2 linked regions of the Schizosaccharomyces pombe genome follow. The gene in region 2 interacts genetically with the main gene of each other region. Each region holds a gene or a part of one and is shown on either strand. Other genes may lie near its edges.

What was found. A genetic interaction does not mean that the proteins touch.
Region 1: mutations in pef1 (region 2) and sgf73 impair growth when combined (synthetic growth defect), as found in Schizosaccharomyces pombe (2 studies listed by BioGRID, with this or other methods).

Annotation. Positions count from the first base shown.
Region 1 is NC_003421.2:2,120,092-2,126,742, reverse strand, and holds sgf73 (SAGA complex deubiquitinating submodule subunit Sgf73), read left to right. Parts: upstream 1-2,812; 5' UTR 2,813-2,886; coding exon 2,887-3,469; intron 3,470-3,540; coding exon 3,541-3,992; 3' UTR 3,993-4,233; downstream 4,234-6,651. Other genes in the region: twf1 (twinfilin), read right to left, coding at 1-113, 222-589, 653-730, 769-793; mrpl17 (mitochondrial 54S ribosomal protein mL46), read left to right, coding at 1,083-1,200, 1,295-1,728, 1,877-1,975, 2,043-2,198; pus1 (tRNA/U2 snRNA pseudouridine synthase Lsp1), read right to left, coding at 4,370-4,541, 4,581-4,936, 5,002-6,078. UniProt on the Schizosaccharomyces pombe protein: Component of the transcription coactivator SAGA complex. SAGA acts as a general cofactor required for essentially all RNA polymerase II transcription. At the promoters, SAGA is required for transcription pre-initiation complex (PIC) recruitment.
Region 2 is NC_003421.2:683,775-690,170, reverse strand, and holds pef1 (cyclin-dependent protein kinase Pho85/PhoA-like Pef1), read right to left. Parts: upstream 2,437-6,396; 5' UTR 2,418-2,436; coding exon 2,390-2,417; exon of another isoform or gene 2,339-2,389; coding exon 1,500-2,338; downstream 1-1,499. Other genes in the region: NatB N-acetyltransferase complex catalytic subunit Naa20, read right to left, coding at 4-468, 526-603; pgl1 (6-phosphogluconolactonase), read right to left, coding at 3,379-3,967, 4,086-4,270; DNA polymerase epsilon Dpb3, read right to left, coding at 4,979-5,122, 5,224-5,343.

The sequences.
Region 1 (6,651 bases), 1.4 Mb from region 2:
TTTTCTGTAGATGATTTTAAATCAGAAAGAGCCTTTAAGGCTTTATCATCAATCGACATAGCAACACCACGGGTCACCAAAGGACGCTTATGAGTTACTGAGGATTGCATAGACTACATAGTTGTTAAAATAGATGCAAATAAAAGAGTAGAAGCTATAAATTCTACGAGCCACGGTAAAGAAGTATGAAAAATCCATCCACCCCAATACAGTTTACCTACCTCATTGTACTCTTTCCTTTCGAGTTCATCTTGTCGTAAAGGACTTTGGTCCTCTTGCTTGCTTAAGCTCTTCATAATTTGCTGATAATCTAACTCTTCCGGAGTACTTGCGAAATAAGACTCGTCGAGTTTAGCAAGAGTTACGCATCTTACAAATGCAGCACGACTAGAGGCATATAACATCTTCCTGCGAACATTCGCATTTTCAGGGACATAGGAAATTAATTGTAATAGATTTTTCTTGCTATCATCATAAACGAGGACAAATGCAGGTTCTTCAGATCCGAGCAAACATTCACGGACTTTCTTAAAATCAGATTCTATCGATTCTGATTTTTCAACCATTGTTTTCACGTCAAATGAATTCTCTAAATCATTTAGTAACTTCAACTAACTTAAAATTTACTCTTCTAGCCCGAATGGAAACTTACCATTAGAAATGCTAATAATGGCGGCGCGAACCGGTACCGAAGAGTACTCCTCGAGAAATTTACTGAACTTCTCTGTAGCTATCCACACGTTAGAAGAATTTAGCCAAATTTCTTACGTTTTAATTCGACGGAAGCAGACATTGTTATGGGGATTGAAAGGTTTACTGCGTCAGCAATTCCCCATTCTAAGTGAGTTAAATTGAATTATAACGAAATCCAAAGAAATCTATTAAAACATATTAACGATAGCAACAGAGTCTCTAAGAAATATTACAGTACTTAACGAAGCGTGTAATGTACGCTGGTAAAACAGGTGGTAGTGCTAGCCATAGCGAAACGTCGATTGCCTTTACCAAGTGGTCTTTACCGGATTAGTAAACAAAGCCGAAATTTGGAGATTTACTTGGCGTAAATTGACTAAGTTTAAACAATGTACTTGAAGAGAAATATTATAAATATGCAGAGGTCTTTTTCGCGTCAATTTCACATTTCTGTACGAAATTCCATTCAATCCTCTAAACCCTTGTCTAACTCGACTCCTCTAAAAGGTACAGAATTAAAAAATGAAAATGAATTATCTAGGGATATTAAATATAAATAAAAAAATTACCTTTGATGTACATGATTGCTAACATATCTTAGGTTGTTCAGTGGGTACAATTTTAATTAGATCGCCAATTCTTACTCGCCAACCATCCGAATTCGAAAAATCTATATATAAATATAATGCGGAACTTTGGAATGAGCTGAGTGATCCTTTACCTGCAGAATTTTATTTCAAGAAGGGATCGGTGGGTGAAAAAGATTGGCAAGAACGACAAAAAACACTAAAAGGTAAAGAATCACCCTTTGAGACGATATTTGGAAAGGAAAGGAAAGAGATGGAGTCTAACAAATTATTGGATTCTGCAACTCACTTGCAATCCAGAGTCACAGAAGCTGATACGAAAAACGATGAGCGAAGCACTCTTCGCTCGCTTGACAAGTCCCTTTACTTGTTGGTAAAAAAATCTAAAAGCTCGGGTTGGCAATTTCCTAACACTCCTGTTACAAGCTCCGAGAAGGCGCTGCATCTGGTAAGTACATTTTTTAAAATTCGATTCCAAGATACACAATATAGTGCAAGAGACTACTTACTATTGATTTGATGCTAAATAATTTATCAAATACTCTTGCAATTTTTGTTTACATAGTCTGCAGATTGGCCTTTCTAACAAACTGTAGTTATGTCAAGATCTTTTAAAAAATATATTAGACGAAAATTCGTTGACTTGGCTAGTTGCACGTCATCCATTAGCATTACTAAAAACGGAACAAGAAAAGGTAAGACTACGGATTTTTTGTTCTCATTTTATCTGGGTTGATTTTTTGTTTAACCAGTTATTTCTAGACCTTCTTGTTACGTGCTCGTTTATTAAATGGATTAGATGTACCTAACCTGCAAAACGTTTATGACTGGGTTTGGTGTACGTACGATGAACTGAAAAACAAACTTTCTCCTTCTTCATGGGATTCTGTAAAAAACATACTTTCCGATCGTTTGTAATCTTCAATTGAGCAAACAATATGTAAAATCTACGGAAAATAAACAGCGGAACATTTCATCTTGGAAATTCAATCTTTCTACAATCTTACTGCATTTTTCAGCTTAATTTTCACGTTTTCTATTTTTTTCTCTCCTTAATTTTTGATGTTTTGGTACGATGTAAAAAAAAACAAATAATTTTGGAATTTCACTAAGTATTTCTCCTTATTTATTCTATCTTTTTATTTGCAAATGATTCTGCCAGTATTTTATTTTCAGCCGCCTACTTTTGGAGTCCGGATTTCATGATTACTCACCCTCATGATCTGTGGATTCTTGGCAGTGTACGAGAAAACGGGAAAAGCGCGCACCTTAATAATAAACTATGTTTAGCTCAAGGGACCTAAAAAAATAGAATTGTTAATCAAAATTGATATCCGTAGTTTGTCCTCAATTCCAAGATCAAAAATTCTTTTGTCAGTCATAGTCTAGCCCTTAAAGACAATGTCTGTATAATTTAGTAATTATCAGAAATGATATGTGTCAGCATAATCCTTTGAAAGTTCATTAGAATGCAATTATAGACTTTGCTTTCTGGAAGCATTAAACCGTACATACACTTGACTTACAGATTTAGTCCCACTACAAAGGAATTGACAAAGGGCAACTTTGTAGAATTCTGTTTATAAACTCGGTTCTTATCAATAAAATGTTAACAGAACAACAGACTTTGGAGTTATTTCCAGAAAATTGGGAAAGAAATGAGCAAGTTTTGTTGAAATACCCGGATGGGTTACCCAAAGATGTACTCGCTGATCAAAGAGTTGATAATACAGAATCACAGGTAAAGGATGAAATAACTTCTAACATTACGAATCAAACTCAAATTTTACTACCTGCTGATTCCTTTCCTCAGTATGGGTCATATCCTAACAATTCAGAACTCGATTATGTTGTATGCACAAAATGCGACCGACCCTTCCTATCAGAGTATATTGAGGACCATCATAGCTCATGCAATGGAATTAAACCTCCTAAGCCTCAATTTGAGCCTGTTGCGAATTCTCAGGTTTTAAACAAAGATGTCAACAATGGCAATAATGCACCCATCAAAAATGGTGTTAAATCGACAGCTAAGGGCTCAGCTGGGAATCATGAAAAGAATTCAGTTAATGGTCAAAAGAATCCTGAAATGCCTCCAAAACGTCGGAAGACAGAAGAAAACAAAAAGCCTACAAAATCCGCCCTTCCCAAGAAAGAGGCTAGCAAGAAGAAGAATCCAAAGGTCAAAGGTATGTTGGTTTATGCTGTTCAATATGGAGAATGGAGTACCTGTTTACTTTAATACTAACATTCAATTAAGGTCCTGTGGATGTTGAAAAGCAATGCGGTGTTTTGCTTCCTAATGGGCAAATGTGCGCCAGATCTCTCACATGTAAAACGCATTCAATGTCAAGCAAACGAGCCGTTCCGGGAAGATCTCAGCCATACGATGTTTTGCTTGCAGCTTGTCAAAAGAAAAACCAAGTAAAAATACAACGACAAATCCTCGAAACTGCAAAAGAATCCGAAGATAATCAGCATCAAGCGCCTGTTGATTCTGATGAAGAAGTCAGTTTCATTATGAATGTTCTCCAGAAATCTGGCAATCAGCCTTTGGAGCAAAAAGTTTTTTTACCCGTAAAACGTCGCCATTCGTATTTTCGTACTAGAGAGTTAATAGCTGCTGCATTTCGACATGGTGAGCAGGGTATGCAAGTTACTGGTACTATATTGGGACGAGTGATTCCTTTTAGTGCCCGCCAACCACTATAAAGAAATTCTTTTGATTTTGCTTCGGTTGATGATTTAAATTCTTTATGAGATTATAGTTTACATTTTGGTCTACTTGACCACGCATTTTCGACTTTTTAATTTTCTCCTCCGTTCATCTAGTTTCTATTTCATTAATTTTTTCATTTTTTATTTTGTATATTGCACCATACGGTCTTAACATTTGGAATAATCAAGTAGAAGTTAATAAACTATAAAAATACCAATAGAACCCAAAACCAATAATCAATTCTAAAAAAAAGAAAGAAACAAGTATTCTCCAAAAATATATGTACACGTTTGTAGTCTAATTTTTTAAAAGAAACAGCAAAGTTTATGGTATCAGTTTGTTGCAAATCCTCAGTCTCACAATCAATCCTTTAGCCCTCTAAATCATCCTTGTTTTCAGCCGAATCTTCTTCTTCATCGCTAGAAAGAACATCAGGCAATTTTGAGGAAACCTCTTGCGTCTTTTCAGTAATGCCTATATCTGATAAATAACTGAAATCTTCTTCATTATAACTGTCAATAAAAGACAAAAAACAATGAAATCTAAACCGGTTAGTTAATTTAAGAAAAAAATATACTTACACTTGTTTACGAGCTTCTTCGAGAAAAATTTTATCATAAATATGAGCATGCTTAAAAGCAGTAATTTTTTGCTCGTACTTTGTAAAGTCGATAGGATCACGATTATTCTCTGGAGCTTTATGTTCATTATAACCTTTAAAAAACGGTGACTCTAATAAAAGTCCAAAACCAGGTCCCTTGGGTATGTTAATTTTTGTTTTTTTAAAGGCATCTTGTATGCGCTCAACAGGACAACCCGTTCGTACAACTAAAATAGCAAGCGCAATCATCTTTCTAATTTGGTGCAACATAAAAGATTGACCATGAACTTTACATGAAATCCATTCTGTATCGCCAATCATGAATGGATCAGATGCCTAGAATGTTAGAAACAAGACTTGTCAAGAATACTATAAATACAAAGAAGATAATTCTTACTTACAGTAAAAGAACGGATCACGCGATTACTATTCTTCTGATGAAATGCTTGCCCCACAGTAAAATTGTGAAAGTTATGAACTCCAACATATTGGTTTAAAGTTTCTCGAATAACGGACAGCCTATCTGCGGAAATACGGTAATTTTTTAATTTAAGTACTTCAATGTGCTTAAGTGCACGTTCGAGACGATAACTGGGATCAATCTTGGAACCAGCAGATTCGTCTTCAACAGAGTCAGGCTTTAAAAACTCGTTTACAATAGCAGAGGAATCGGAATCCATATCTGGATTAGTTTTAGCGGAAACTCCTGCTTCAGAGCCCTTATTATTTTCCGAATTAGCAAGAGCAGCAGCTCCCCTTTTAGAATATGGATTTACGAAGCCTTCAGGATCCTGTTCATAAAGGCTCAAAATCTCTTTGGCTGCAATATCATAATCATCCCAAAATTCCTTTCCTTCTTCATAAAATAATGAACGACTGAGTTGATTTATATTTTCCTTGTTAATTGGCTCAGCAGGCATGGGAGAATTCTTCATAATGCAATTTCCAAGTATGGACGAAGGTTTCGGTGGAACAAAAGCATACGTTGGAACCATATATTCATATATACGAGATTCGCAATAAGTCCTTGGGTTAAAAGAATTAATAGTACGGATCACATCCCATAAGCGAATGGAAGGAGGGAGGTGTTCGTTCACTTTTTCAATTAACTTCTCATCTTCCATTATAAGTTTGAGACTGATAACATTTCCAGCGGCATGAACTCCTTTATCAGTTCTTGCGGCTCTTGCTAAAGCAACTTTCTTTGGGTCATCAGCGTTATAAGAAGAAACGGCACCAGCCTTCACAAAAGCATCAAAAAGATCTCCTTCGATTGTTTTACTAGGAGGATTCAATTGCATACCATGATATCCGCTACCACAATAACCTACAAGACAGGCGACCTTTCTTTTCGGCTTTTTTTCTCCAACTACCAAATTCTCTGGCCGACCTTCTCCATTGTATATAGAATTAGGTCGGTTCCTTTTCGCTTCTCGACGATCACCATTGTACCAAGTGCGTTTACCACCACGTCCCATGCTGTAGTTAATATTATTTGTTTTTGATGAAAACGCAATTTACGCTGCACAGGTAAAAATTCATTTAAACATAGTAGAGTATATTTTCTTAATAATGAAATGCAAGGAATCGTTATTCATTCAATAAGATAAGAGTATAATTACACGATGGTTCACTAAACAATTATAAAACAATATACTTCGCTTACCTTAAGTTAAAAGTTTTAAGAATTAAAAAGCTAAATATTGTATCGCATTTCGAGCAAAAACAGATTGATGAAGCATTCAAACCAAAAAAAAATAATCAGCCTGAAAAAGGAATGACTTAAGACTGACTATTAATTGTTGCTTATTCTCTGTCTCTGTGTTTTATCTTTTGTTACCAGTTGTCGAAGTAAAGGCCAAATTGAAACCCGTGACTAATCCTTCCAATAACTAAGAAAAGTATACCTATTATCAATTTTATATCAAAAATCTAGTCCTTTTCATCGTTCATAAACCTCATTTTTTATTTTTTTCTTCCACACGTTACGAACAAAACCGCAAATTGTCAGCAATACTACACTAAGCTATGATATATTACGTTGCGTTTCA
Region 2 (6,396 bases):
GAACTAAAATGAAACATCAGCTGGGCTGCATTTGAAATTTTCCCCATTCTCTCGAATGCTTTCTCTATTAACATCTCGCGAAAGTGGTTTCCGCATATCAAATGAATCCTCATCCTTTCCATGTGGATTACTATAGTACCCAATAACTCGTCTATAAACCGAATACCCCAATCCTTTGTAAAAGTCAATTGCAAGTGCATTGCTGGCACGCACAAACAGGTCAACAAAAAAAGCGTTTTCAGAATTTCCTACAGTTTCTAAGTAGTCCATCATCGTTCTAGCAAGGCCTAAACGACGGGAATTTGGCGCTACTGTAATGGCGGTAACATGAGTATGCCACTCTTTACCGGTTCCTTCTGATTTCCCCATAATATAACCCATAAGGGTTGGATCAGATAGGTCAGACTCTTGTACAACACACAAGCTAGGCCATTTGTTCAAATAACTGAGATAAAATGAAATATTGAACTAAAAGTTGTTCGAGTTAATGAAAGTCCGCTTTAAGTACGGTAGATGGTAACTTACGGTCTCCGTTAGAGGATCTAAATTTATATTGTTAAATGAAAATAAATCAGTAGCTTTGAATTTTCGCGTATCAGTCATTTTTTCATGTAATGTAAATTCTAGCAGTATGGGTAAAACTAAAAGATTTGGCGAGGTAGAAGATGTCGTAAAAATACGATAAGCCAAATCCGTATATCTCCTTAAACAATAGATTGCTGGGCCAAGCGAGTAGAAAAACTCAAAAGAAATTGTAAAAGACACAATTATTATTTCATGTTTACAAATTGAACCTTCTTCCTAAACGAAACTCAAAGAAATTTAGTCACCTCCTACCATTGATGCCTCAAAACTGAAAAGATGGAGTATAGATGAAAGTAAATAAAAAGAATAATGAACGACAGAAACCACATAAAATGTCGAATGGTTAAAGAGAACATTAATAGAGAATCCCTTCATGCAGTTAAATAATAGGGAAGGAAGCCATTAATCCACTAATAAAAATAAGTGAAAAAAGATTGTTTTTCATGTGCATTGCGGATAATTGCTTGAAATCCGCAAATTATTATCAGTATACTAAAAACCCGCATTGCTTTTTGAATATTATCCTTTTGCTCCTTCATAAAAATGTCAGACGCAATGCGGATCATTCAATTCTTTAAGTATTTCATTTACGACTTGAATGTCATCAGCGACGATATTTTAATCGTAGAAAATAAAACGCCGTTTAATTCTTGGCTAAAAATATATTCGACAGCTTCAAATCCTCTCAAAATAATAACCAAATATTTACCTCTAAACCTCGTTTAAAAAAGATCAATAGGGATAGCTACTTGGGCTAAAACAGTTGCGAAGAAATTTGAACGTCCAAAAATATTGTGCTCTTTCCCTAGGTGAAATGCATTCTTTCCAAAAAAAAAATTAATGATTTCAATAGGAAACTGAAATGAATAAATAAAATCGTAATTTGGTTAAACTTTTTGATGTTAATTTACAGCCTATGCGGTTAAAAACCAAGCATGTTGAAGCGCATCCTGGCCGGTCGTCCTTAATTCAGGTTGTAGACGAAGCATCCGTCGTAACAAATCCAAACCAAGAGGATCAAATGTTGGAAATAGGTAGGCGAGATCTTGTGCTTTATAAATAGGGAAAGTAGGCTTATATTCAGGAAGTAAAGAAATTCCGGGCCATGATTGTTCAGTAGGAGTTCCCAATAATCGGAAGATTTTTAGTAGCTGATCCTCATTATTTGACCCAGCAAATAGAGGACGTCCTGTAGCCATTTCTGCCATGATACAACCAACTGACCAAATATCAATGGAAGTTGAATATACTCGAGAACCCAAAAGAACGTCAGGAGCACGATACCATAAGGTGACCACTTCGTTTGAAAAAGTATTCACTGGAATTCCAATTGAACGGGCTAACCCAAAATCCGCCAATTTCAATTCACCACGACTGTTGATAAGCAAATTTTGAGGTTTCAGATCACGATGTAGAACTCGGTTTTCGTGACAAAAAGATATCCCTTTGAGTAATTGTTGAGTAAAATTTTTTACTTGAGAAGGTGGAAGAGCTCCTTGGTTCCCATAAGTGTCCATGTACTTTTTCAAATCTTTTTCCATATATTCAAAAACGAGCATAAGCTTATTTTCGGTTTGCAAAACGTCTGAGAGAGACATAATATTGGGATGCCTAAGCTCCTTCATAAGACTAATCTCACGGATAGCAGTACTAGGTGTTCCTTCATCTGCATCAATACGAATAACTTTGAGAGCGACAATTTCACCAGTCACTCGATTTTGCCCCTTATAAACATGCGCATATGTTCCCTCTCCTACTTAAGTTAATGAAATTGCAAATTTTGGGACCTCAAACTCATACTTACCTAACTTTTCAAGCCTTTGGTAGTTCATGTTGTGCGATGGAAATATCAAGTGCCTCCTCTACGATGACTAACGACTTAAGGTGATGTTAAGCTAACAAAACTGTTTTTAAGACCTACAGTTTTGAAGAATATGCTAAGAAAAAAAATTTTTAGTCTATTGAGTCATGTCGAACATCTTGCTATAATGTAAACTATTGTAATTAAGATCACTACAGCTTCTATCACAAATTAACCTAATGATAATTAATCAGAAGGTTGCCATCTGTAGAAAACACATAAGTATTAATAAACCCTTACATAAAGGAGAGTTTAAGCAATTGCATGTTTTTGGATATAAATTTCCATCTTTGCTTAAAATCTATCATAAGCAGTATGAGAAAATGCCGTAATTTTGCATAATTTTAAAAATGAATTAATGATTTAATAAAAGAATTGAAGCTAAACTATATCACTGCAATTCAAAAACAATTGGTTTACTTTATCTTGTTGATGAAACACATTTTAGAACATTATCACCAACAAAAAATGATACAAGATAGCTTAAGTTTATATATTTCAATGATTCATTTCTTCATTAAAACATCATATTTCTGCAGTGTGGGTTTGGCCAGTGATATCAATCAACTAAACATGATTCTAAACGAAGCAATAAAACAATTTAATAAAGCATTAGCTTCTTACACATTGTTTACAAGACTAACCTTTATACGCTAGTCTAAAATAAAAAACAGACAACAAATGCAAAGAGGATTTGAGGAACAAGTTCTCTCCTAATCTACTAACATGTGTTAAAACTGGTCATCAAGCATTCCACGGAAGTGACTGAAAGCATTTTGAAAGTCATTATCTAAAGCGTTTATGCAAAGAATCTCACGAACAACAAAAGAGAACTGCAACCTTTCCCTTGAAAGACCTTAAAGAAACAAGTAATGAATCCGAAGCATGTAGCAATTAAGCATTCTAAAGGCCACCTGCTTAAATTGAACTGCCTATTGAGGGAAAACCTTCAAAGAGGATCTCTCAAGATTGGCTGATGCTTCATCATCCACAAACCAGCTTGTACGAGTCAAATTGTTTCGAGTGATCAGCGCACTTGGAAGTTTAGATGTAAAATCCTCAATGACAATAGGCAAAATATCCTTCTTACCAGCACCTGTGGTAACAAAGGCAATGGCTTGAGCATGTGTGACAACCGGTAAAGTCAAAGTGATGCGGTCTTTAGGGGGTTTGGGCGAATCAGTGACTGGGGCCACCCAAGCAACGTCTTCCTGGAGTACCTCGTGATCGGGGAATAGAGAACATGTATGGCCATCAGGACCGCATCCTAACAGCAGTAAATCAAACACAGGGACCTTAACAGTGGAGCTATTTGCAAACACATGCACTAATTGTTTTTCATATTCATCAGCAACATTCTGAGGGTCAATAGGATTTTCTTTCAAAAGCTCAGGATTGATGGTATGAATTTTTTTAGGGTCAAATCCTTCAAACTTGTCAAAAATCAACTTTTTACAGAGCGCATAATTTGAGTTTTCATCATCTAAAGGAACAATTCTTTCATCAGCAAAGAAAACTTCCCTAAATAGAGCTGTTAATCATAAATTGCCTTAAGACAGAGTGTTTCACGTCAACCAAAGCTAAACAAAACCACAGTGAATCCATACAACTCAAAAGTATATAATATCTGTTAACTTACCATTTGGAAAACTCGATACCTCTCTGTTGAGCCAATCCTTCAGCCAAAACCTTTGGTAAACTTCCTCCACTAAGAGCTAAAGTGAACACGCCATGCCTTTTAATAGAAGCTTCACTTTTCTCTTTAACGAATGCACCAAGTGCCTTTGCAACTAAACTAACGTCTGAAAATGAGTAAACCGACATTTTTTCTACTTGGTTCTGGTTTGCTTTCAGTATTTGCGCAATTGTTAGTAATGGAGTAGTATTAACGAAACAAGGTGGAGTGTCGTAATTCATTCGGTAGTCGGAAATTTAGAACAGAACAAATCTTAAATCAGTTTTCGAGTATAGTAATGTACGATTACGGCATTATCACGGCAAGGTAGCGGAGGTATAGAATATAACCATGAAGCAAGCAATACGTCTGCATCGCTGGGATTAGATAAAGAAGCTCGACCTTCTCTGCATTTTTGTTTAAATAAATGAACCAAATGATATTGAGAAAGGAATTAAATGAAGAATATACAGATGGGCGCTGGTAGCTTTTCAATATCTTTCAATCGAGTTCAAACGTTTAACCATTTCCTAATCATTAAGATTGTTTATAGATGTAGCTAACAAAGGCCGCAAATTAGTCATGATTGAAACATGAAAAATCAGGTAACCCAATTTAAGAGAACATGTGTTCTATTTTATCCAAATAGCTACAGTAGTTGTTTGATAAAGCTGTTTGAAAATGCGCATTGTGGATAAAAAGACACAAGAGCATGAAAACGAAGAAGAAAACTCAAATAAAATTCATTAAATCACATTTTACTGACAAGATGATTGTTTCCTTTCATTTCATGAGGAAGTTTCTGAACAAGAAAGGAAACACTTAAGCTTCCGTTTTCCAGTTCTCACACTTTTTAATTATATAGAAAACAAATCTGATAAAAATTCAAATTGATCGTCCTTACGTACAACGTCCTCAACGTCCCTGTATCGTATTCCTTTACGTTTTTGTAATTTGGCAAGTTGATAAGCCTCTGTTGCTAACTTTTCAACAAATAATTCCTAAATCATAAAATAGGTAAGCTTTTATTTTTCTTTTTCTTTTATGCAATCAAAATGGTGCTAAGTCGCCCAGATAGCTGATTTATCAACAACACACATACAGTAGCTACTGAAATTAACAAAGCAGATGCATTAGAACAGTAGTGTACGTCTTCATCTTGCTTTATTATCCTCTTTACTCTGCTCAATGGCAATACAGTTTTCCCATATGTTTTCTCCATGAATCAATCCTATCGACCGAAACAATTTAAAGGACTGGAAAAAAGCAATTATACCCTTAAACTATAAGGTTCTAATATAAAATAACCCAAAATCTCTAGTGCTATAAAAAATTATAGCCTTCTGATTTCTGACTTTTAGTGTGTTGTTGTCAAAATACGAAGTACTCTCGCGTCGCGACCTAATAATAAACATACTTACTTTACCACTAGAACCTTACATTGTTGTTTAACTTGAAACATAAATATTTTTAACTTTTTTTCTATTTTTAAAGAGTATTTCATTTAGTTCTCATAATTTCTAAGACTTTGTGGATTAATAATTTTTTATAATCAGTATAGCATGCGTATACATCAAAATATACTCGATATCGAGTTAATACACTTGGTAAACAAAAGCCGATATAACAAGGCAGCGTTAAAAATGAAAAATAGTAATCACTAAGAATATTTGTAGAATCCTTTTCTTTTTAATATCTTATGCCGTTTTCATATCATAAAATAGGACATGAGTAACTAACACATCCCGGATACGTTTCATAACTATAAATTTGAATATTTTGTGTAAGAAATGAACTTAAATTGCAAAAAATCAACTGAAAATTGCTAAGATGTCGTCCAATAGTAGATTCATTTTAAAAAAAGAAACAAAAAATAAAAGACTCAGCTAACCCCAAACGACCGATAAGAATCCACTTCTGATTGCCTAATCGCCGCAGTGATTGCAAACGCAAACGACACTTCATCTACTGGTAAGCCAACAAAGTGACATGTATCAATATAAAAGCAGGATTTCATTTTTGAAACAAAATCCAATCTAATGTATAAAAAAGGAAAAGTTCAAGGTATCATCAACTCATGCACTCATAAAATCACGTATCGAGACTACTGGATTCCTTCATCCAACTCTATCATCGTGAACTATCGTAATCAAGTTTAATCATCCTTTTAGTTATATAACATAAAAAATCGGCATCTTAGTGTATAAGATTAAACCGAGTTTTCGAGCTCCTTGGCTATGCAAAACTTGTAAATCTCCAGAAACAAATATTAGAC